3 linked regions of the Diceros bicornis minor genome follow. The protein of the gene in region 3 purifies or fractionates together with the protein of the main gene of each other region. This does not show direct contact. Links are inferred from orthologs where the notes say so. Each region holds a gene or a part of one and is shown on either strand. Other genes may lie near its edges. The genes, in order: NAP1L5, MAGED2 and NAP1L1.

Region 1 (7,139 bases), on a different chromosome or scaffold from region 3:
TAATATTACCTTAAGGTTTTACTCAACTATTGCCATTAGCATAGGTCAGAGCTGCCTTCCATTCCCTAAGGTAAAGCAGTCTAAATTTTGCTTTTGTCTAATTTTAACTCTTAAGGGAAATGGAAGAAAATGCATCTGAGTTTTAAAAATTTTTTGGAGTCTTTAATTTTATTATTATTTGTACTTCATTCAGAATGCCCAAATGTAAAGTTGAAATAGCATTTTTTTGTATATTCATAATGTCACATGAAAGCCTTTTTATCCTTTCTGGGAGGATATCAAAACCTGATTTTTATATTGAGGAAACCAAAACAAGATAGGTTTTTGAATTTCCTGTGTTTCTGAATTAAAGGCCACATTTTTCTCTGACAATAACGAAGCATAAACTTAAGAATATAACGATGTCCATTTTCTTCTCTTTTGTAACTAGAGAGACAAGGAGGATTGAATTTCCAATCAGTGTCTTTATCTTTCATGTAGTAATAATAATAATAGTGATAGCTGAAATTTCTGCAGCACTTAGTATGTTCTGTGGGCTTTTATGTGTATTAACTCACTTGTTCTCCATAATAACCCGTGAGGAAGGGACTGTTACTATGCCCTTTTCTAGATGAGGAGAAACTAAACACAGAGAGATTAAGTGAATTGCCCAAGATTCATTGCTAATAGGAGGCAGAGCTGGGATTTGATTCCAGGCAGGCAGAGTACCGAGTCCCTTTGTTTTTGGAAAATACTGCTTTATTAACACCACAGTGGTAAACAACTTTATGCTTATGTTTATAGATCACTGGGTCACAGGCAATTCAAAATCCACAAAGAAGCTAAGAGTCTTTATATTAAATGTGTCCTTCCTAAAAATCCTTGACTGTATGCCAGTCTATCCTCAAGCAGTAAAATTTGATTATGCACCATTTTATATTTAATATGTCACATTTACGTAGCAAAATAATGAAGGCACAGCTAATACAAGCAAACTTAAACCCTTTCTACTTCTGAGCTGGGGGTGGGGACACACACTTGGATTGGTTCTTCAAGTATATATTTTTTCCAAACATTAGCTTCAGTGAAAAGTTCTGATAATTTTCACAGCTACATTTTAAAAGCTACAGGACAAAAAGACTTTACAAGGATCAAACTACATAACACTGGATACACATGCTTGACAGAATTTGCTACGTTCTACATCTCTTCAAGTAAATTAATATTTCTAAAATGCTAGGTAAAGGGATTTAATACTTAAACATTTGGGGTTTTTTTTTTTACACTTTTGTAAAGAGACACTACCCAGAAAACACATAAATATGACACTGTAAATAATGAACACATTATTGTTGACAATATTATACAGGTTATACACCCTCCTTCTCAGAACCATGTTGTTTCTCTAAATTCAAATATTCAGAACATTCTTTAGAATTTGAAGTGGCAGTTTTCCAGGCTTATTAACAATACTGTCGTGATCTCCATCACACACTTGGTTCCATCACTCTTCTAAGTGTAAAGCTGATGTCTGGGTTACAAAAGCAAAGTCTTAAAGATGGGACTTTTCTTGGGTTCTGGACTGGAAAATTTCAGGACTAATGAAGAATTAGGCATTGAGAACATGTTCAGTCTTGGCTTGGGTGTTCCGTGTGTAATGTGATGATAGTGTGATGAATGAGTCTCAAAGTGACATTCTTTACTTCACATCTACGTGACACCCTTAATAAGCCTCAGTTCCAGTCCTCAAGAAGACATCATGAAAAAATTATTTTAAACACATTTTCTTTAACATCTTTTGATATATTTGTGTTCCAAATGAAAATCAAATTTGAAACGGGCTGGCCAGGATCTGATTGCTTCAATTTAATATATTTTTGGGAATGTCAGGATTGATTCACATTGTATTTTGGTCCAAAACCTGAGCCTTTTTTAAGTCCACCCATATATACATAATATTTTTAAAAAGTAGCGTTTTTGTCTTCGTCGTCATTCTGCTCTTCAGTCTCTGCCCCGCTTATTTTCTGGCGTCATCAGACAAGGCAGAGTGGGGACCCTCACCTTTGGCACCCTCCGCCGCAGCCTCCCCCTCCTCCTCTTCCTCCTCTCCCTCCTCCTCATCCTCGTACTCCTCGTCGTCGTCCTCCTCTTCCTCACCCTCTAAGGTCCATACACATCCCTCCATCTCACCGGTGAGCTCTTGGATCTTAGCAAGTAAGGGCTTATAGATGTCATTATACTTTTTCTCCAGAGCCTGAAATTCCTTATCAAATTTGGCTTCTATCTTATCGCATCGCTTCTGCAGCTTTTTGAGGGCCAGGACTCGGCATTTTACCGAGTTAGGCAGGCTCTCGATAAAGTCATTTTTAGGCTTTGGTGCATTCTCGGCAGGGGTCTGGGGCTCCTCTGCCGTCTGACCGGCCGCGCTGTCAGAGTCGCCCGTCTGCGCACCACCTTCCGCCATTACCTCCTCCGCCGCCGCCGCCTCTGCCGGCGCCGCCGCCGGGCTGGGCTCGGCTGGCCCCTGGTTCTCCGCGTCTGCCATGTCGGAGGAGAAGCCGCAGTGTCGGGGCTCCCGCAGAGACCCGCGCCGGAGCTGCTCCGGGCGATCTGGCGGATGCGGCAAGAGGCCGTGACGTCGGCGGCGGCCGTGACGTCGGCGGCGGCCCCGCCCTCGGGACTCCGGCCGCTGACTGGCTCCGGGACGGCTGACTGCCGTGCCCACTGCTGCGCCGGCTCTCCGCTGTTGCTACCCTGCGGGCTCCCGGGCATTGCCGCCGACGTCAGAGCCCGTTTCTTGGATACCCCGCCCGCAGTCGGCCCGCGTACCTGCGCCCCTGTGGAGCCGGTGTGGGAATGGCTGCGGGGGCCGAGGCTCTGTCTCAGGAACCGCTTGGCTGGCTTCAGCCTTTTTCAGTTTGCTCCTCTGTCCCACCCAGGTCCTTGTATACATCTATCTGTCAGTACGTCTGTCTTGGCCGTTGTCCGCATCTACCCGGGGCTGGTGTTGGTTTGCCGTGGTAGGGTGTCTCTAGCTTACTCTTGTGGGGTCGGTTTGGGCACCTCTCAGCTTCCTCCGAATTCCGTTCCAGAATGTGGAGGCACGGGAGAGCTGACTCCATTCCACCCGCTCTGGGACCTGGGTGCATGTGTGTGGGTGGGCAGCTTGCATGTCACTGTGCCCACCCAGCAGCCCCCTTGGCCGTTTCTCAGCCTAGCGGCATATATCCTGGTGGCGAGGTCTTGTCTCGGCAGGACGGACCCCGGAATCACTTTGGGAGCCGTGTGGATGGGGAGCCTCAGGACCCCGGGTATCCTGGAATGTGTTTGAGGAGGTCCCTCAGTGTCCTTGGCCTGTGGGGAGGGATAAAGCTGGAGGAGGGCCAAAGACCGGCAGGGCCCTCCAAGGCCTGCGGCCCAGCGCGGGGGCCGCGGCTTACCCGCTGAAGCGTGTGCTTAGTCCTGCGGTTCCCTGGGGACATGCGGCAGACACGTGTACACACAGCCGCTGTCCCCAGAGCGTTCCACAGCTCAGCATCTGCTCTGTGCGTCTGGCCTGTGATTTGTATCTGAGAACATAAGAAAAAGATCTTGAATAGCCAGCGAACTCTTGTATTTTAATAGCAAAGTGAGTAGATATTTTAGTTCTTTACTTTGTTTATTAAACCAAAACGATAGCTTCTTAAATAAGGATGAGGGCACATATTTGAGGTATAGAAGACAAATGATCCTTCCAGAAATTCCTCAGAAATGTCTTCAAATTCAGCATTCCTGATTTAAATGCTTTTCTTGCACTATATTGAGACTTGCTGAAACTTTTTCACCAAGCATATGAAATGTTAGGAAATTACTTCCCAATATACATTTCGTGCTATCTTTTGTGTCTTGTGAATATTACGTAGTTAATAATATGTAAAACACTTAATGCTGACACACAGCAAGCACTTGATAAATGTTTTGGTTTTTTTTTAACAAAATAATTGCATTTATTAATATGCAAAGATAACCTGCAATAATATTCTCTTTTAGAAAAGGACATCTTTGTGCCCTTCCCCAAAGAAAGTAACTGTTTACAAAAGACCCAATATATTCCCCCTAGCAAACATCGTAGTTTTTTATGTACGTGTGATTTCTGTTGTTTATTTTACTTTCTTGATTCTGTTCCGGATCATTTATTTTCCCCCCTTGCCTGTTACCATTTGTAATGACTGAGTTTTATTGCTAAGGCTAAAATTTCCATCTTAGACCTGACTGAATTTGGTGTAATGGTATGTCTATATTTAGTTGGCTGACACTATACGTATTCCATATATCACCATATATTTCATATATCATCTCTTGATGGCTACAGCTACGTTGAGGTTAGGAATGCTTTTTCTCATTTTAAAGATAAAGAACTTAGAAGCAGAAAAATAAAGTGAAGTAAATATTCTGTTACTGTATGTATCACCTGATTGGCAGAATCAGGGGCAGAAACCAAGCCTTCTAACTCCTATAGTATAGAAGTTGTGACAGATTTGAAAAAAAGCCCAAATTTTAATCAAATCCGTTTGACTAACTTGCTTGAGACAACCTGAATGTGCTCATCTTTCACGATTTTTATGTTCTCATCTTGAAAAATCTTAAAACTTAGTTTTAAGCTAGGCTACTTTTTTCCAAAGGTCTGTTTTATTGAAATATAATTTATGTGTAATAAAATTCACCCTCTTTAGGGTGCTTTGACAAATAAATACAGTTAGGTAAACACTGCAGTAATCAAGATGTAGCACAGTAACTTTATCCCAAAAAATTCCTTCATGGTCCTTTCCTTACTGCCAGCCCCGGTGACCACTGATCTGTTTTCTGTCTCTATAATTCTGTTTTTTTCCAGAATGTCATATGAAAGGAATCATATGTATGTAGACTTTGCGAGTGGCCTTTTTCACTTAGCATAATGCATTTGAGATTCATCTGTGGTGTTGTGTCTATTAATAGTTTGTTCCTTTTTATTACTGAATAATATTCCAGTTTGGGTTGTTTCCAGTTTTTTGTGGTTTTGAATAATGCTGTGATGAACATTCATCTACAGGTTTCTGTGTGAATGTAAATTTTAATTTCTCTTGGGTAAATACCTAGAAGTGGAATTGCTGGATCATATGGTACATGGAGGTTTAACTTTTTAAGAAACTTCCACACTGTTTTCCTAAGTGGCTGTACCAATTTATTTTCTCACCAGCAATATATGAGAGTTGTAGTTGCTCCCCATCCTCACCAGCATTTAGGGTCATTGGTTTTTTCCCTAATCTAATAGCTGTGATGGTATCGTTAATGATTAATGATATTGAATATCTTCAAATGTGCTTACATGCCATTCATATGTCTTCTTTGTTAAAATGTTTGTTTAGATCTTTTGCCCATTTTCTAAATTGAGTTTTTTGCTTTCTTAGTAGTTTTTAAATGTTTTTATATATTCTGGATACAAGTCATTTGTGAGATAAGTTTTATAAACTTTTTCTTCCAGTCCGTGGCTTGTCTTTTCATTTTTGTGACAGTGTCTTTAAAAACCAGACATTTTTTTTTTTTTTTGGTGAGGAAGAGTGGCCCTGAGCTAACATCTGTGCCCATCCTCCTCTATCTTGAATGTGGGATGTCTGCCACAGCGTGGCTCGATGAGTGGTGTGGGTCCATGCCTGGGATCTGAGCCTGAGAACCTCAGGCCACCGAAGTGGAGCACGCTGAACTTAACCACTGCACCACCAGGCTGGCCCCAGAAATTTTTTGATAAATCCATTTTTAAAATTTTTCTTTTATGGATTATGCTTTTGGTGTCACATCTAAGAAATCTTTGTCGAATCCAAGGCCGTAAAGATTTGTTCCTATGTTTTCTTCTGTAAGTTTTATACTTTTGTTTCAAATTTAGACTATGATTCATATTGAGTTAACTTTTATGTAAGTGTGAGGTATATGGATATATATGTTTTGCATATGGATATCCTGTTGATCTAGTATCATTTATTGAAAACACTATCTTTTCTCCACTGAATTTATTTTGCAAATTTGTCAAAAATTAATTGACCATATACATTGGGTCTGTTTCTAGACTTTCTTTTCTGTTGCCTTGATTTAGAGCCATACCTCGTTTTATTGCACCTCACTTTATTGTGCTTCGCAGATACTGAGTTTTTTACAAGACCCTCCACCACCCAAAAGATAATGATTTGCTTGAAGGTTCAGATGATGGTTAGCATTTTTTAGCAATAAAGTATTTTTTAATTAAGATATGTACATTGTTGTTTTAGACATGATGCTATTACACACTTCATAGACTACAGTATAGTGTAAACATAACTTTTCTATGCACGGGGAAACCAAAAAATTTGTGTGATTCACTCTATTGCGATATTAACTGTATTGTGGTGGTCTGGAACCGAGCCCACAGTATCTCCGAGGTATGCCTGTATGTGTCTCTCCTTTCACAGATACCACCCTTGATAACTGTAGCTTTATAATAATGTCATGAAATTAGGTAATGTGAGTCTTCTTTGTTCTTTTTCAAAACTGTTTTGGCTCTTCTAGTTCCTTTGCCTCTCTGTATAAATTTTGGAATCAGCTTGACAAACTTTTTAAAAGATCCTTACTACAGTTTGGATTCAGACTTCTAAAAACCATTGGCAATGCATACAGTACCTGCTTTTTTAAATTTACGTGTTCAAAAGATTATGTCAGTTTGTTAAGAGTTGTCTCATTTTGTGGGCTCTATGGACTCTAGTGTGTAATTGGGTAGCAGTAACACATAGTTGTGTATATTGTAGATGAGCTCTTGTGCTATGAGGTCTTTATCTCAGCATGTTGTAATTTTTTTTTTTAATTAAAAAAAAATTTTTTTTTTTGTGAGGAAGATCAGCCCTGAGCTAACATGCGTGCCAATCCTCCTCTTTTTTTTTTCTGAGAAAGACTGGCCCTGAGCTAACATCCATGCCGATCTTCCTCCACCTTATGTGGGACCCCGCCACAGCACGGCCTGACAAGCGGTGCATTGGTGCGCGCCCAGGATCCAAACCCTGGGCCACCATCAGCGGAGCGCACGCACTTAACCGCTACGCCACGGAGCTGGCCCTGGCATATTGTAATTTCTCACGCTCCTGTCACACTGGAAATGAAAAGAAGCAAGATGGGGGAAG
Region 2 (7,815 bases), on a different chromosome or scaffold from region 3:
TCTAATCCCACCCCTGTAGTAATAGCCTGACTCACTACACATTGGCCATGTTGAGTCTTGGGTTTGTCTTTCACTGGTTTCCTAGTAGGAGTTTCATCTCCCCACCAGGCCAGGAGCAACCCAAGGGTAGGGCCAGAGGCTTCTCCTCTTCCTATGTCCACCACTGGCTCTGATTATACCACTCTGGACCAATCACTCAAGTCACTTCACTTCTCTGGGACTCAGTTTCCTTCTCTATAAAACTGGATAACTTTCAGGATTTAATGAGATAACCTGTGTGAATGTGCCTAGCCCAAGGCCTAACACATGGTAGCTACTATGTAAATGTAAACCGCATTACATTCAGATTGAAGCTGTGCATATTCCTGTCTCATCTCCCCACCAATTTGTGGGCTCTCTGAAGACAGGAATCATATAATTATATCATAGTCCTCTTAGTGTCTCCCACAGCCTTGATGAGCACAGGGAACTTTCTAAACGTTTGCAGAACAAATGAACCAACTAAGAAGAGAGAAGTGGAAAGGTAAGGGTGATGATTGCAGAGGTCTTACCTTTCGGGCTTTCTTGGCCTTGATCTTGGGCCGAGTATCCTGATTCTCCCGAGCCTGGGCAGCTGCACCCTCAGGCTCAGGTTCATCTGCCAGAGCCTGAGAGGCAACAGCCTCAGTCTCCAGAGCCTTTGTATTGACCTTGGCATCAGCCACACAGCTGCCCTTTTTGGTCTCAGTGGCAGGCACTGTCACAGCCTGAGGGTCAGCATTCTGCATCTTGGTGTCAGCTGCTCGACTCGTCTTTTCAGCTGCCAGAACCTGGGTATCAGTCAGCTTAGTGGTAGGTGAGGCCTGAGTGGCAGCTGCCTCCTCAGCCTCTGTGGCCTTTGACACGGCTGCAGCATTCGAAACCTTCACAGCCTCTGAGACTTCTGGTGCCTTTGAGGCCTTCGGTGTCTCTGAGACCTCCAAGTTCTGGGTCACTGTCAATAGGGTCTGCATCTTCAAGCCACTGTCCTCTTCTGAAGCATCAACCTACAAGAGGAAACAGGGAAGCTCACAGACATTCTCCCTACCCCCAACTAGGCAAACGGCTCCAAAATTCCAGGGCCTCACTTTTCTGACCTATACTAACCCCTTGCAGTGTGCTCTGACCACCTCAGCCCAACAAGGCCTCCCCTTCCTCTGAGCAGGAACTGATGGCAAAAGAGGGGCAGGCCTGCCCTCCCTTCCTCCCACCTTCCTTCCTCCCTCCCTCTTTCCTTCCTCTCTCTCTCCCTTTCTCTCTCTCTCTACTGGGGTAGGGGGCACCCAGGCAAGGAAGTGGGTGGAGAAGGGGAAGAATGGGAGGGGAGATGCCAACGGATTTGGGGCAGCAACAGGGGTTGGAGAGGAAAGGCAGCTAGGGAGAGGACAGAAGGAGGCCTTACCTGTAAGCGGGTTGGGCCCATACCACTCTCGCTTGTATCAGACATATCTCAAGTTGGCCTGGCAAGCACTGAACCTGAAGGAGAGAAGGCCTGGGTCAAGGAAAGGGCCCACTGAACGTTCTCTCTTCTGTTCTGCCTGGAGGCTGATCCTCACCTTCCCCAGGACCCCAATCCCAAACCCCTCCCCCACCCCCAACGACTTCGTTCACAGATTAGTAATCCAGAGCGTCTAAGTCTCAATTCTCTGCAGCCGCACCCTCCCCTTCTCCAGGAAGATGTGCCAGCGCGGCAGCTCTGAGGACCCCGCCCCTTTTCCCAGTGCACCGCCGCCCCCAGGCGCAGGTCTAGAGTGCGCATGCGCGTCCGCTGCAGGGGCCCATCTCAGCCCCGCCTGCTTTCTCAGAACAAGCCCTTTCTTTGATGTCCACCGTGCACATGCGCATTCGGCAGCTGGCCCGTCTCTGCTTGCCCTTCTCTACACGCCCCCTTCTAGCGATCCATAGTACGCATGCGCAATGATCACGGACGCAGCCCAGCCTGCTGTCCCAACACACGCCCCTCTCCAGGTCTGCAGTACCATTGGGTCCCGCCCCCTCCCCAACAAGCCTCCCTCTCAAATTGTCGCAGTGTCTGGTGGTCCCGGCCCCTCCCCTATTCACACCCACCCCACCAAATCCACAGTACTCACCCGGTCCCGCCCCTTTTCATAACACGCCCCCCTCCAAACTGGGGCAAAGCGCCTCTTAGTTCCGCCCATTCCCTAATACACCCCCTCCTCAAATCAGTATTGAGCTACCGATTCCATCTTGGGCCCAGCCAAACCGGGTCCAGTCCCCTCCCTTCCCAGCCGGATGGATCCGGTACGATCCGGTCCTTACAGCAGGTTTTCTCCAGATCCTAGAGGGTGGGGCCGACCCCTAACGGGGCTCTGATCCAGAGCAGGGCCCTGCTTGCTCACCTCGTCCGTCCGCAATTCCCGAGTGCGTTCTCTCTCTCCAAGCCCCTCCGAAACTCAGAGACTACCCTCCCCCGTCCAGGCCGGAAGTGGTCCCGCCCCTTTCCGCCTCCCTAGGGTGCCTCCGTCCCAGCCAGTCTGCCCTTCCCCCGCTCTGTGCTCCTCATTCTTTATCCCGCCCCCCTCACCCGTATTCCCTCTGCCTTGCTCCCTGCTCCCTATTCCCCCATCGCATTTCCTATTTACCCCACCGAATTCCCCATTCCCATTCTTTACATCCTCCTCCGTGTTACCTCTGCACCCCCTCCTCCAATATTCCTTAACCCTTCTTTGCATCCTCTATTTTCTTCTCTGGATTTCCACTTCCCTCAGTATTCCTCTTCCTCCTCATATTCTTCGTCTGCCACCCAACATGCCCAGTTCCCCGTTTGTTTCCCCCTCCTCCTCCACTAGTCTCTGCTCCCCAGTAGTCTCTCGGTCGTCCTTGTTGCCTACATCCCATTCCAGGTCACCTCTCCCTTAGCAGCAGTGGTGCAGTAAGAATTGCCCACTTGCCTGGCTATAGGTTCGAGGGGGCTGGAACCACTGTCTGGCTGCCAGGAAGCCCCAATCTTAACGCCCCTCACCTTGTCTTCGAGCGAGTCCGGGATGCGTCTGCCCTCTCTCAGTCCCTCTGGAAGTCTCAGCCTCCTGACTAGAGCTGCAGCCAGCCCAGCCCAGCCCAGCCCCTTTCCGCAGCCCCCTGCCACCCCCCCTCCTTCCTCGGGGGTGGGGCAATGGGGCCCGGTTCAGGGCCGTCTGACGCCAAAGCCCGTGTTTATGCCACTGTACCAGACTCGGTATGAAGCCCTTCCAACCAAAACCACCCCCTCAAAGCGATTCATACGTTGAATGTATTTATTTTTATATCTTTATTTTTTCGTATTACAAAGCTAATGTGTTGTCGTTGTGAAAATTCAAATAATGCAGGAATATGTATCATACCAATGAAAGGTGTGTTTCATTGGTATGTAACATACCACCCATATCTCATCCCCCAGAAATATTAACATTTTGATATATATTCCTCCCAGAGTTTTTTCTATTCATAAACTAATTATTTGGGTTTTCTCCCCACAAGTGGTACGCTGTACCTACAGTTCTAGTAGGTTCTAGACCTAGTTTTTTTCCAGTTATGTGTTCTAAACAGCTTTCCATAGTGCGCATTTTTCTGAACAGCTGCATCATCTTTTCTTGTATAGATGTCCCATAATTTATTCAATCAGACCAGGATACATGGATATTTAGCATTGTTTCCTTTTCTTTTCTTTTAGTTTTTTTTACTATTACTGTCCAAATAATACTACAAGGAACATCCTTGTCTCTGTATTGGGCTTCTTTTTATTGTTATTTATGGTATTTTTTGCTGACTCAAGTGCTACAAAAATGTTTTCCATTTTGATATAAAATTTGTCAACTTACTCTCAAAAGGTATATGGAATAACTTTCCCACCAACAACGTCTCTCAAACATTTATGTCACATATATTACAAGTATTTTTCGTGTTATTTATGGTAATCTTTGCTATACAAAATGATTTAGTTATTATGTAGTGAAATGTATCAGGTTTTCCTTTATCATGACTGGATTTTGCTTCATGCTTAGAGATCCTTTCCACACTGCTATATTGTAACAATTCCCGTCTTTTTCCCAAGCACTTTTATGGCTTTATCATTTACATTTAAATGTCTGATCATTCCAAAATTTGTTTTGTATAAGGATTCAGCTTAGTTATTTTCCAAAATCATAGTGTCTTATCCCTACACCATATGCAAATTAATCAATCTTTTCCACCACTGATTTGAAATGGCACTTTTATCATAATAAATTCACATAAGTAACTGGGTCTATTAAAGAGAACAAAATAAGATGTATAAATAATGGAAAGTAGAAAAAATTGTCATTAGTTACAGAGTGTATTAATGCAGACCTGGACAACCTGAGAGCATCAAGTAAAAAATTATTAGAAATCATAATAAAATTTAGCACAGTGGTCAGTTACAGAAATAATATTCAATACCTTTCCTACATCCAAAAGTAATTCAAATGGTCATAAACCTTCTGCTTTATGAGGTCACCTTTTCCTTTACTAAGCAAATAAAATATCATGAATCCCTATGTTCTATGGATAATTCAACGCATGCCTGCACACACACACACACACACACACACTTCCCAGATATTCAAAGTGAGTTTCTTTTCTCCTGACTCCTCTCTTTCCCTGAATTGTTGCCTCCTCCAAGTTTGTGATATAGCTCACTACTTTCTTGCCTCCTAGGTTCTCTCTCCCGGGCACAGGGCTTTATTTCATACTAGACACAGCCACTCCTTTTCTTCCAGTTCTAGTGCCCCAAGTTCCCATCCCTTCCAAATCATGGCAAGCCTTGAATGCCGAGGTAAGGACTTTGGTCTTGATCCTGAGAGCACTGAGAGGTTATTGAAGGGTTCTAGGCTTGGATAAGACATAGATTTGTGTTTTAGAAAGAACACCCTAGCTGCCTAAACCATAAGGAGTATGGATTAGTTGTCTTCCTGGAAAGAGAGAGTAGTCATCCAGGTAAGGGAAGGGGTGAGGAGGAGGGAAGTGTCAAAGGAAACTCTTGGGGATCTGATTTGAGAGATAAAATGTGTGGACCCCTTTCACTGAGATATGGAATACTAACGGAGGGGAACTGAGTATCAATTTTGAGGTACCTGTGGGACATCCAAGTGGAAATGTCTCACAGGCAGTTGGATATAGATATCTGAAGCTCAGGAAAGCGGTCTGGGCTAAGGTTATAGATCCAGGAGTCATCAGTATGTAAATGGTTCTTTAATCCGTGGGAAAGGGCAAGAGCACCTGGGAAGAGTGTGCAGTCTTAGAAGAGATGGGGCCCAAGGAATAACCCTGGAGACCACCGACTCCGGGCATAGGTGGAGGAAAAGGAGCCCATGAGAGAGATGGGTAAGTAGTGACCAAGGAGATAGGGAGAAAAGCAGAAGAAAGTAGTGTCACAAAAACAAGGAAAGAGAATGTTTCAAAAGGAGGAAGGGGTCAATAGTGTTGAATGTTACCAAGAGGTCAAGAACAGTCCTGAAAAAATATCTAGGGATTTTAATAATCAGGTGGTGGTCTGGTCCCTGGTGACCTCAGAGGGAATAATTTCAGTACAGACATTTGTGGCATAGATTGCTAACTGCTTATACCAGTATATCCATTCTCTTCTTCTTCCTTAGTAATAGAACATGTGATTTTTAGCTGAACACATAGCCTCCTGGGATAAACGTCATAAGGACAAGAGTCACACCCTAAGAATAGTGCAGCAGTAAACTAAAAAGAACCTGGATCTCTAATAATATCATAGTGCCACCATACCAACTTTGGATTGCATACCTCTGGATTTCTTTTAGGTGAGATAAACACAGGTATGTCTTATTTAAACCATTGTTATTTGGAAGTCTATGCCATGCAGCAGTTTCATGATTGTAGTGAGTTGAGATGTGAGTGGCAGGTGAAGTATTCATGACAATGAGTGCGTGATGACAACTCTTTAAAGAAATGCCTGAGCCTGATTTCAAGGCTCTCCCAAAATTTAGTTCTGATTCCTTTTCCAGCCTTTTTCTTTCTGTTTTTCTGAGCACTACCTGTATTCCAACAAAACAAAACACTTTGCTATTACCAGATGTACCCTGCCTTCTCTTGCTTAGGAGCCTTTGCTCATACGATTTCTTCCCCATGGAACACCCTCTGTTACATCTACCCTCTGTTACAACATCCACCATTTTAAATTCTATAGCATTTTAAGTCCTAGTTGTGGCCTTTGGGATCCTGGAGTAACTTTAAAGGAATACAGAGTCAGAACCTTAGGAGATTCAAGGGACTCGGGAAAAATCTCAGTCCAAGTCCATCAGAGAGGTATTCCCACAGATTTTCAAAGCCAACCTTCCCAGTCCCTTCTCAATACCACCACCTTCATAACACAATACTATAACTACCCTTATCTTATGACCTGGGGATCAGAGGACAAGAGAAAACCTTATCAAGAGAGAAAAGAAAAATTCATTCATAATCTTCACCCTTTTACCAAAGAGATTTCCTCTCACCTTCTCCTTATGAACTCCTGGAATCTTTTGATCTTCAGCATCTACCCATAAACTCTGAAGAACTTAGGTCACTGGGTCCCAGATCAGTTTCCAACATTCATAGATCAGCAGGTAAATACCTGAGATCATATAGATCCTGCATATCAACTAAGGGCAAAGATGAAAAGCTGAGTTATCATCAGGCATCTCTGTTAAGAAGATGAGGAAAAGCAGGCTAAAGATTGCTTAGTGCAGAGTGTCAGGGGATAAAGTTGCCTAATCCCAGAACATCCAAGATTTCAGACCCCTGAAGCTTAAATGGGAAGCCCAGAATATACCCGCCACCAATCTTCTCCTAACACATTTTCCTTCCTCTAAACTATACAAAATCAGTACCTCTTAATTTTCCAAAATTCTGAAAATTTTGGAATATACAGAGGTAAAGCTTGGAGTAGGTGGCAAAAGTTTCCTCCCAAAGCTACCTATCACTTCTGTAGTCGTCTAAGTCGTACAGCACACCATAGCAATCAACTTAAAATTGGACATCAGACTTTCCTGTTCTTCGCATTTCCTCAGCCATTCCCACCACTGGGAAAGGCCTAATAACTGTCCCTTCTCCTGGGCCCCACTCCCCATTGTAGTTGGGCCCTTTCTGTCCCCCAAAATACGGACGGGGCACCTCCCCTCCTTTCCATTTCCAGGCTCCTATATCCTCTCTCTTGAGTTGCTGGTGGAATATCATTTTTTTTCTTCCTTTTATGTGCAGGACAATTAATACATTTTGTATCACTCTGAACCCTGAGGGCTATCTTTCCACAACCAAAATGGCTACATTTTGTTAAACCAAAGGCAAATTTCCCATAGATGAGGAAACTGGCTACCCACTTTTGGGCTAACACTCCTTCTCCCCTGCTCTTTGCACATTGAGTCCTTCCTCAGCACATGCCTGTGAGGCAGGTTCGGGCCAGTCAACAGATATTGAGCACCAACTACGTATTAGGCACCTCTACAGAGGTGGTCCTTGCTCTTCAGGGGCTTACATTTCTACTGTATGAACATTAACCTCATTTTACAGAAGACCAAATTGGGACTGAGGGAGGTAACTTGCCTATAGCAAAGCAACTAGCAAATGACAGAGAGAGGACTTGAATCCAGGTCAGTGCAATGCCAAATACCAGAGCCTTCCCCACTATGCTCTACTACCGCCGATGTTTGAAGTCCCAGAAAATCCTTTCCAACTCTCTTCATAAACATATGATGATTTTCTTCTGTGGAGGCAAGTCGAACTGGACGTCTATACACCCATTTTAATATTGTCATAAAGTGTCATAGGAAATAT
Region 3 (7,542 bases):
AAAAAGTAAAAATGTATCAAATCATGTAGCAGTAAAAGGCAGAGTTGGTAAGCAGAAGTATAGAGTGCACCTTCATTTTTTTTTTAGGTTTTTTTTTTAATTTTATTTATTTATTTTTCCCCCCAAAGCCCCAGTAGATAGTTGTATGTCATAGTTGCACATCCTTCTGGTTGCTGTATGTGGGACGCAGCCTCAGCGTGGCCAGAGAAGCGGTGCGTCGGTGCGTGCCCGGGATCCGAACCCGGGCCACCAGTAGCAGAGCGCACGCACTTCACCGCTAAGCCACGGGGCCGGCCCTAGAGTGCACCTTCTGCGGGAAGCCCACTAATATGATCTAGTGGTCTGCTGTCAATGTACTAAATAAACAACTTACAAGGATGAGTGAACAAACAGCACTCACCTTCTAAACCCTACTCTGCCCAACAAGGAGAGAACTTCTTATTCAGATGAAATTAGTATGAAATGGGACTTAATATCACCATTATAACAGGATCCTTCATGGAACAAATGTTATAAATACTACTCTATCCCTCACTTGCCCCACTTTCTTTTTCTTCTTAGCACTCATCACAATTTGACATTTTATATTCAGACAACCAATTTGCCTGTTTGGCTCAAGATATAAGGTACAAGTCCAAATAGGTGCTAACATATTTACTCAAAGAATCAACTGGGAACACAAGTAATTAATTACAGGTTTAATTAGACTTAAGGATCTGAATAGATGGATCATTAGTTTTCAAAACTGATCAAGATTCATTTCCTCTAATCTTATCTTTCATTAATATTTCAAAATTACAACAAAGCAAAAAAATGAACAAAGTAATTTTTTGACATCATCTTCATACATTGAAGTCAAACAGATTTTGCCTCTTTTAGCACCTTTTCCTACAAAAGGACTCTATTGAATATATTTTGGGAGTTTAGAATCAAATCAGTCACCCACAGACTATGGGAAAGTTGAATAATAAAATGAGCAATAGCGTTTTGAATTAAATTAGTTCTGGTACAAGTGTTGAGTTTTTTTGTCTTCTCTAATCTCTACAGGATGAGAACAGTCATGGGCCACATTTAGTAACTTATTAGCTTAATAATTTTCTGTCAATAGGCCCAATATCAAAAATAGGTACTTTGCAACAGATGAAATTTACAAAGATTTTCAAACTGGTATGGTGAATTTTTTTTTAAATTCTATTTATCAAATTAACATACCACTAACCCGAAAAAACAATATATGAAGTCAAGGTTTTTATAATGATAGATGTCCAAGTCGACCAACCAAATATTTAGTTCCATCTATCCTCCAAAGGACCAGTCTTAAGAAGTAAATCACACATTTTAGATTTGGGCCCTTAATTTGAACTCCGGCAACTGTGAACAAGCATGAGACTTAATAGTCCCAGAAGATCACTGTAAACCTCATTTACCTCCCATCAGTTTTAAATAAGTTATTCTACATATAAAGTTTTTCCCTTATCCAATCAAAGGTCTATCACTTCCTAAGTAAGTACATAAGTAGTATTAATTAAAGCTGACAAAAATAGAACCTAAATACTAATTTGAAATATTTTAATGCTATTTTCAAAAATGGCAAATTTCATTTTACAGCTCAGCTCTCCTGAAACCAGACAGGCCGTGTTAAGTTGTGAGATTTTAAAGCGCAGTCCTTACAGAACTAACCGGACAGTGATAGTCTACAATAAGGGCTCCTTGAGGACATCCTGTGCCCGATTCATTCTTTCTGTACTCCGCAAGTCCAGCCCTCCCAGACAGGGCCTCCTCATTCCCCGCCTCCCTTCACTGCCTCCTTTTTTGAGGGAGAAGTGAGGGCACTGACAAGGCAGCAGGCTACAAACTTACATTAAGGCCTCATTCCACCCCATACTTCCTCCATACCCCTACTCAGCTTAAAAACAAAACAGCCAGGTAAGTATCTTATTCTGGCAACTTCAATAAGAGAAGTAATTTGTAAGAAAGCAATAGAAGTCTTAGAAAAATTAAAGACATTTCAGGCCTAATCCTTTATTTCTTAGAACCGTTTAGAGGATTAGATTGATTAGGATCAATTCTCCCCAAATAAAAAACTCTGGTCAAAATAACCATCCAAATTCTAACCGTACTTGAAGTACACAAGAAAATCTTTTGTTAATAATGGCTCACATAAGCGCTTTACACGCGGTAGTTCTTTCAAATCGCGGCAGTGGAGGCCCTGCTTCATCACCCATCACCTAACATGCACACTTTCCTCCGTTACCCATAAAAAGATCAGGACCCAAGAAAAGCAAGGGGGAGTCGGAAACCCAAGGGCTGGACTTACGCGCTCACTATTCATTTCCACATCCCACCATCGCTACAACTTTGAGGGAAGTAAGGACAGCCCGGCCGGGGGTCTCCCGTCCGGCCCGGCGGCCACGTGTCGAGGACCGCCGGGGGTTCCCCTCCCGGCGCGGTCGCCGCCCCCGGTGGGCGGGAGCCCGGCCGCCTCACCGCCCCTCCCGCCGCGGGGCCTGGCCCTTCACCGCCCCTCCCTCCCGTCGGAATTCGCAGCCTCCGCCGTTCTTTCCATCCCCCCGCGGCCTCCCTCGGGGTAGTAGTTTGAGAGCGGGGGCGTCGGCCGGCGGTGGGCTGCGCCTCGAGCCGGCCCCCGCCCCGGCGCCTCCCGGTCCCCAGCGGCGCGGCCGCCGCCTCGCTGCCGTCCGCGCGGAGAAACGGTGGGCTCCGGCAGCGCGGCGAGGCCAGCCGGCCCCGGCCCTCCAGGCCGCACCGACCCCGCGTCTCCTCAGCGGGACCCGAAGGGAGCGCCGGCCGGCCGGGGGCCTCTCAGGCTGCGGGGCCGAAACCCCACGGCCGGCTCCGGCTCAGCCTCCAGGAGGCCCGGGCGGCCGGCCGCCCCGCTCTCGGCCCCCGTTCCCCCTCCCCTCCCCGGCCGCCTCTCCGTGCCCCTTCCCCTCAGGCCCCATCCGTTACCAGCGTCTAGCGCGGGGAGCCAGGCGGCCGGAGCTGCGCAGGCAGTGACTCAGGGCGGCGGCGGGAGGAGCGGGAGGCGGCGCCGCGAGCAGATGGCGCTAAAAAAGACCCGAGAGCCCGCCGCTTGCGCTCATATACAATTAGCGTCAGCACGTAGGGCCGACTCCGCGCCCTCCCCCGGCCTCGCCGTCTCCCAGCAACGCGAGCAGGAGGCGGGGCCAGGACGGGTTGCCTAGCAACAGAACCGTCCTTCTTCCCTGGCGACTTCCACAACGTCTGTGCGGCGCTTGGGTTCCTCGGGTTCCCGCCTCCGCCCCGTACGACGCGCCCCGCCGTCTCTTTTCTCCCCGCTGCGCTGGAAGGGAAATTTCAACCCCTTCCGTTCCCGGGAAGGGCCCTGACCTGCGCGCCTCGCCCCCGGCCCACTTCACCCCCTCGGCGCGGTGCTGGGAGGACTGAGGGCGGGGGACCCTGCCCAGTCCCGGCCTGCCGCATCCTGACGACCAGCGCTCTTTCGTGCCTGTCCCTCTCCCGGCCTCGTTCCTGCAACTCCCTGGTCCCCGGTAACCATTTTCTCTCCCCGCCCATTTTTCCCCCTAAGAACAACAGTTCTTTCCTCCTGACCACCTCGGCGGCGTCTTCTGCCGGGTTTGCTTCTTCTAACTCTAGGTCTCTGGGGCTTCGGGGGATGCTCTTCAAACCTACTCCTCCGTCCTTTTATTTGAGGTACGATCCCTCATTTCTGCTTTAGTTCTTTTGATGGGTGAAAATGGCATTTCGGTGTATTCTCTGGATGGTTTATAATGGAGACACTCTATTGTTTCATCTTTCTGAAAATGTAAATCCTTAGGCCTGTGAAACCTCGCGGTTGTCTTTTAATTGATGCTGGATTGACTAATATTGACTCTTAAAACAGTGGTTCTCAAAGTGTGATCCGAGGGTCCCCAGACCCTTTTAAGGGAGAAGTCAAAAGTATTTCCATAATAATACTAAAACGTTATTTGCCTTTTGCACTCTCATTCTCTCACAAGTGTACAGTGGAGTTTTCCAGAGGCTACCTGACATGTGATATGGAAACATTGAAAACAAGCAAATATTGGAATCCAGTCATCTGCTGGATGTCACCAGACATTGAAGAGATTTGCAAAATGGCAAAACAATGCCAGTCTACTCAGTTTTTTTTGTTTGTTTTGGAAACTAGTTTTCATATAAAAGATACTCATGTTAACATTTAATTGGTTTATTGTTTTTAAATGAAACAGTAACTACTCTTAAAATATCTTAATTTTAATTTCTAATCTGATAAATATTAGTTTCTATAATGCCCATAAAAGTTCTTTGGGGACCTCAATTTTAAGAGTGTAAAGAGGTCCTGAGACCAAAAAGTTTGAGAACCTCTTCTCTGAATGTCGCATTCCTTGGAACTTCAAACTGCCTAGAATCCTCTGTTGTAACTCTCACGTTTAGCAACTTTCTATTCCATTTTACAGAGAGGATTTTTTTCCTTGGCACTCTCCAACCCCATTGAAATTAGTTGCCTTTCCCACTCTGCTTCAGATGCCTCAGTTTGGTTTTGGTTCCTCATATATGACTCTTGTTTTTCTCAACCTTCTTTCTTTATATACATCCTACTCGACAATGATGTAAGGCTAACAAGGATGGACATCAGTGATGACTCCTTATGAAGAATCCACAATACATAAACTAGGTAGACCAGTGCTGAATATGTACATAAACTTGGCACTAATTTCAGTGGAACCCTCAAGAGCATTGCATTGTAATCAAAGCTATGCAGAATGCAATGTAATTAGCATATTAAAAATGAACTACATAACTTTCACCTTCATAAATCTTTGTGGTGGCAGAACTTCAGAGACCAAATTGAGAAGTTAGCCTTCATGATAGTTTTTATCCCACTCCAGAGAGCCCCACCAATTTCAGGCATTGATGCTTCAACCCCACTCCCATGTTTAAAGGCTTATCATTACCAGTTTATATTCTCTCTTTCTCCTTTTCTCTAGCCTCCTCTTCCTTCCTCCAGCTTCCTCCTCCCCTTCTTTCAGTGCATCTAGCCAATCTAAGAAACAAAACACTAATAAATTGCTAATAATGCAGGCCTTTTAATGTGATCTTTTGAACCACAGTTTGTAAATCTAAACCTCTACCATTCAAGTTCAGGGAAGGCCAATCATTCAACAAATATCTATATGTCAGGAACAACTTGAGACACCGGAAATACAGCATTGAACAAGGAACGTAAGGTTTTTGATTTTATTGAACTTATGTTCTGGTTAGGTGAGGCAAGTGATAGACAAGTAGTGAAATAATTTTAGATATTAGTGAGTGAAAGAGCTATGAAGAGGGGCCAGCCCGGTGGCATAGTGGTTAAGTGCGCGAGCTCCGCTGCAGCAGCCCGGGGTTCACAGGTTCAGACGCACTGCTTGTCAAGCCATGCTGTGGTGGCGTCCCATATAAAGTAGACAAAGGTGGGCACGGATGTTAGCCCAGGGCCAATCTTCCTCAGCAAAAAGAGGAGGATTCGAGACGGGTGTTAGCTCAGGGCTGAACTTCCTCACACACACACAAAAAAGACCTATGAAGAAAATAAAATGAGACAAAGTGGTAGAAGGTGACTGACCTGAAGATGCCGTTGAGCTTCTCACAATTGACCTCTCTTAGATCCCAAATCACATGATGTATTAACTCATCTAATTTAATTACAATAAGTAGTGGCTCTGATCACTGATCTTGGACCATGCTAAACTTTCAGTTAAAGTTCCTTTTTCCTTCATCCCCCATTATTTGCATTGGTAGATTTTTTTTTTTTTTTTTTTTTTTTTGTGAGGGAGATCAGCCCTGAGCTAACATCCGTGCTAATCCTCCTCTTTTTGCTGAGGAGGACCGGCTCTGAGCTAACATCTGTTGCCAATCCTCCTTTTTTTTTCCCCCAAAGCCCTAGTAGATAGTTGTATGTCATAGTTGCACATCATTCTAGTTGCTGTATGTGGGATGCGGCCTCAGCATGGCCAGAGAAACGGTGTGTGGGTTCGCGCCTGGGATCCGAACCCGGGCCGCCAGTAGCAGAGTGAGTGCACTTAACCGCTAAGCCACGGGGCCGACCCACGTTGGTAGATTTTTACAGCGCTGTATCCTAGTGGTTCAGAAGTGTGGCTCTGGAGTCAAACAGCCCAAGTTCTGTCCCTATTTTGTTGTGAAATTTTAAATAACATGTAAGTTGCCTAACATGATACCTGACATATAGTAAATACTCAATAAAAGTTAAACGATATAAATCTCTTAATGAGGTTTTGTTTTATTTAAAGGTTGAGAGAATTCCCCTGAAGTTTTCTAATAGTATCTGACACTACTATTTTGAAATATTTTATCAGAAGCTATCTTATCATAAATTTTAAAACGTGTTTTCCTGAGCTGAAGTAATCCACACTGATTACCACAAAAGGACTATATTCCACATTTCTAAATGTTGGATGCAGACATTGTAGAGATCAGCCAGACAAGTCAATGATGGATACAATACCTTAAGTGTGCTTGTGTCTGTATTTCAGCCCCTAAGTAGGAAAGTGCATGGGCTTGAAAGTCAGGCGTGGGTTCATCCCAACACTGTGACCTCACAAAAGTACTTACACACTCTGACCTTTAGGCTTCCCCATCTGTGAAGCACATTAATGATTCTAATAAAATCTGCCGCTTCATTAGCGTGAAATAGAGAAATATATGTAAGCCAAGCCTCCAGAGCAATGACTTGTACATTAAGTACTCAATAAATGTTCATTTTCTTCCCTCCCAATTACTCAGTATGTAAAATATCTAATGGCACCAATAATAATCATCTAAAAACTGCACAAATTACATTTAAATAACTGTTATCTTAGTTTTTAATCTGGTTGGTTTTATTTTTTTCCATTTTTTCCCAATTATTATATAAATGCAACATAAAATTAATCAAAATTCCAGTAAGGAATTGTGGACAAGTTGCCTTAAATTTCTTCCTGTACATCCCAAAATGGATTAATAGATTTTTTCGTTTGAAAATTATTTTGGTATCACTTTTAATTGAAGTTTTTATTGAAATGATTGTAGATTCGCACGCAGTTGTACAAAATAACACAGATCCGTGTAAACTTTACCTAGTCTACTATGATGGTAACAACAGTCCACAGTCTTATTCAGATTTCCCCAGTTTCGCTTGGATCCACTTATATGTGTTTGTGTGTTTAGTTCTATACAGTGTTATCACATGTGTAAGTTTATATCTATCACTATAGGGGAGATACAAAACAGTTCCCTCACCTCAAGGATCCCTTCTGTTGCCTTTTTATGACTTTTTTTTCTAATTTACATGCCAAATATGGTTCTACCTTCCCAGATTTTACTTTTTTTTCCTTGTTTCTCACAAATAGACCACTTAGGCAGAAAATAGACCATTCCTTTATGTGGGTCTTCAACATTTCTTACCTGAACTATTTGCAGTAGCCTTGCAATTGGTCTCCCTTATGCCAGTCTCTTACTCCTTCTGATCTACATTGCCAAAGCCGAGGTCTAAAACACAAGTCT

The links.
Region 1: the proteins of NAP1L1 (region 3) and NAP1L5 purify together in Homo sapiens (affinity purification with mass spectrometry; 3 studies listed by BioGRID and IntAct, counting the BioPlex papers as one, with this or other methods). This does not show direct contact. The link is inferred for Diceros bicornis minor from reciprocal best matches to the Homo sapiens genes NAP1L1 and NAP1L5.
Region 2: the proteins of NAP1L1 (region 3) and MAGED2 purify together in Homo sapiens (affinity purification with mass spectrometry; 4 studies listed by BioGRID and IntAct, counting the BioPlex papers as one, with this or other methods). This does not show direct contact. The link is inferred for Diceros bicornis minor from reciprocal best matches to the Homo sapiens genes NAP1L1 and MAGED2.

What each region holds. Positions count from the first base shown.
Region 1 is NC_080747.1:72,637,148-72,644,286, forward strand, and holds NAP1L5 (nucleosome assembly protein 1-like 5), read right to left. Parts: upstream 2,572-7,139; 5' UTR 2,525-2,571; coding exon 1,997-2,524; 3' UTR 552-1,996; downstream 1-551.
Region 2 is NC_080781.1:45,253,152-45,260,966, reverse strand, and holds the start of MAGED2 (melanoma-associated antigen D2), read right to left. Parts: upstream 3,069-7,815; 5' UTR 3,002-3,068; intron 2,456-3,001; exon of another isoform or gene 2,379-2,455; intron 1,495-2,378; 5' UTR 1,466-1,494; coding exon 1,421-1,465; intron 1,026-1,420; coding exon 552-1,025; intron 1-551. UniProt on the Homo sapiens protein: Regulates the expression, localization to the plasma membrane and function of the sodium chloride cotransporters SLC12A1 and SLC12A3, two key components of salt reabsorption in the distal renal tubule.
Region 3 is NC_080764.1:43,366,304-43,373,845, reverse strand, and holds the start of NAP1L1 (nucleosome assembly protein 1-like 1), read right to left. Parts: upstream 3,073-7,542; 5' UTR 2,968-3,072; intron 1-2,967. UniProt on the Homo sapiens protein: Histone chaperone that plays a role in the nuclear import of H2A-H2B and nucleosome assembly.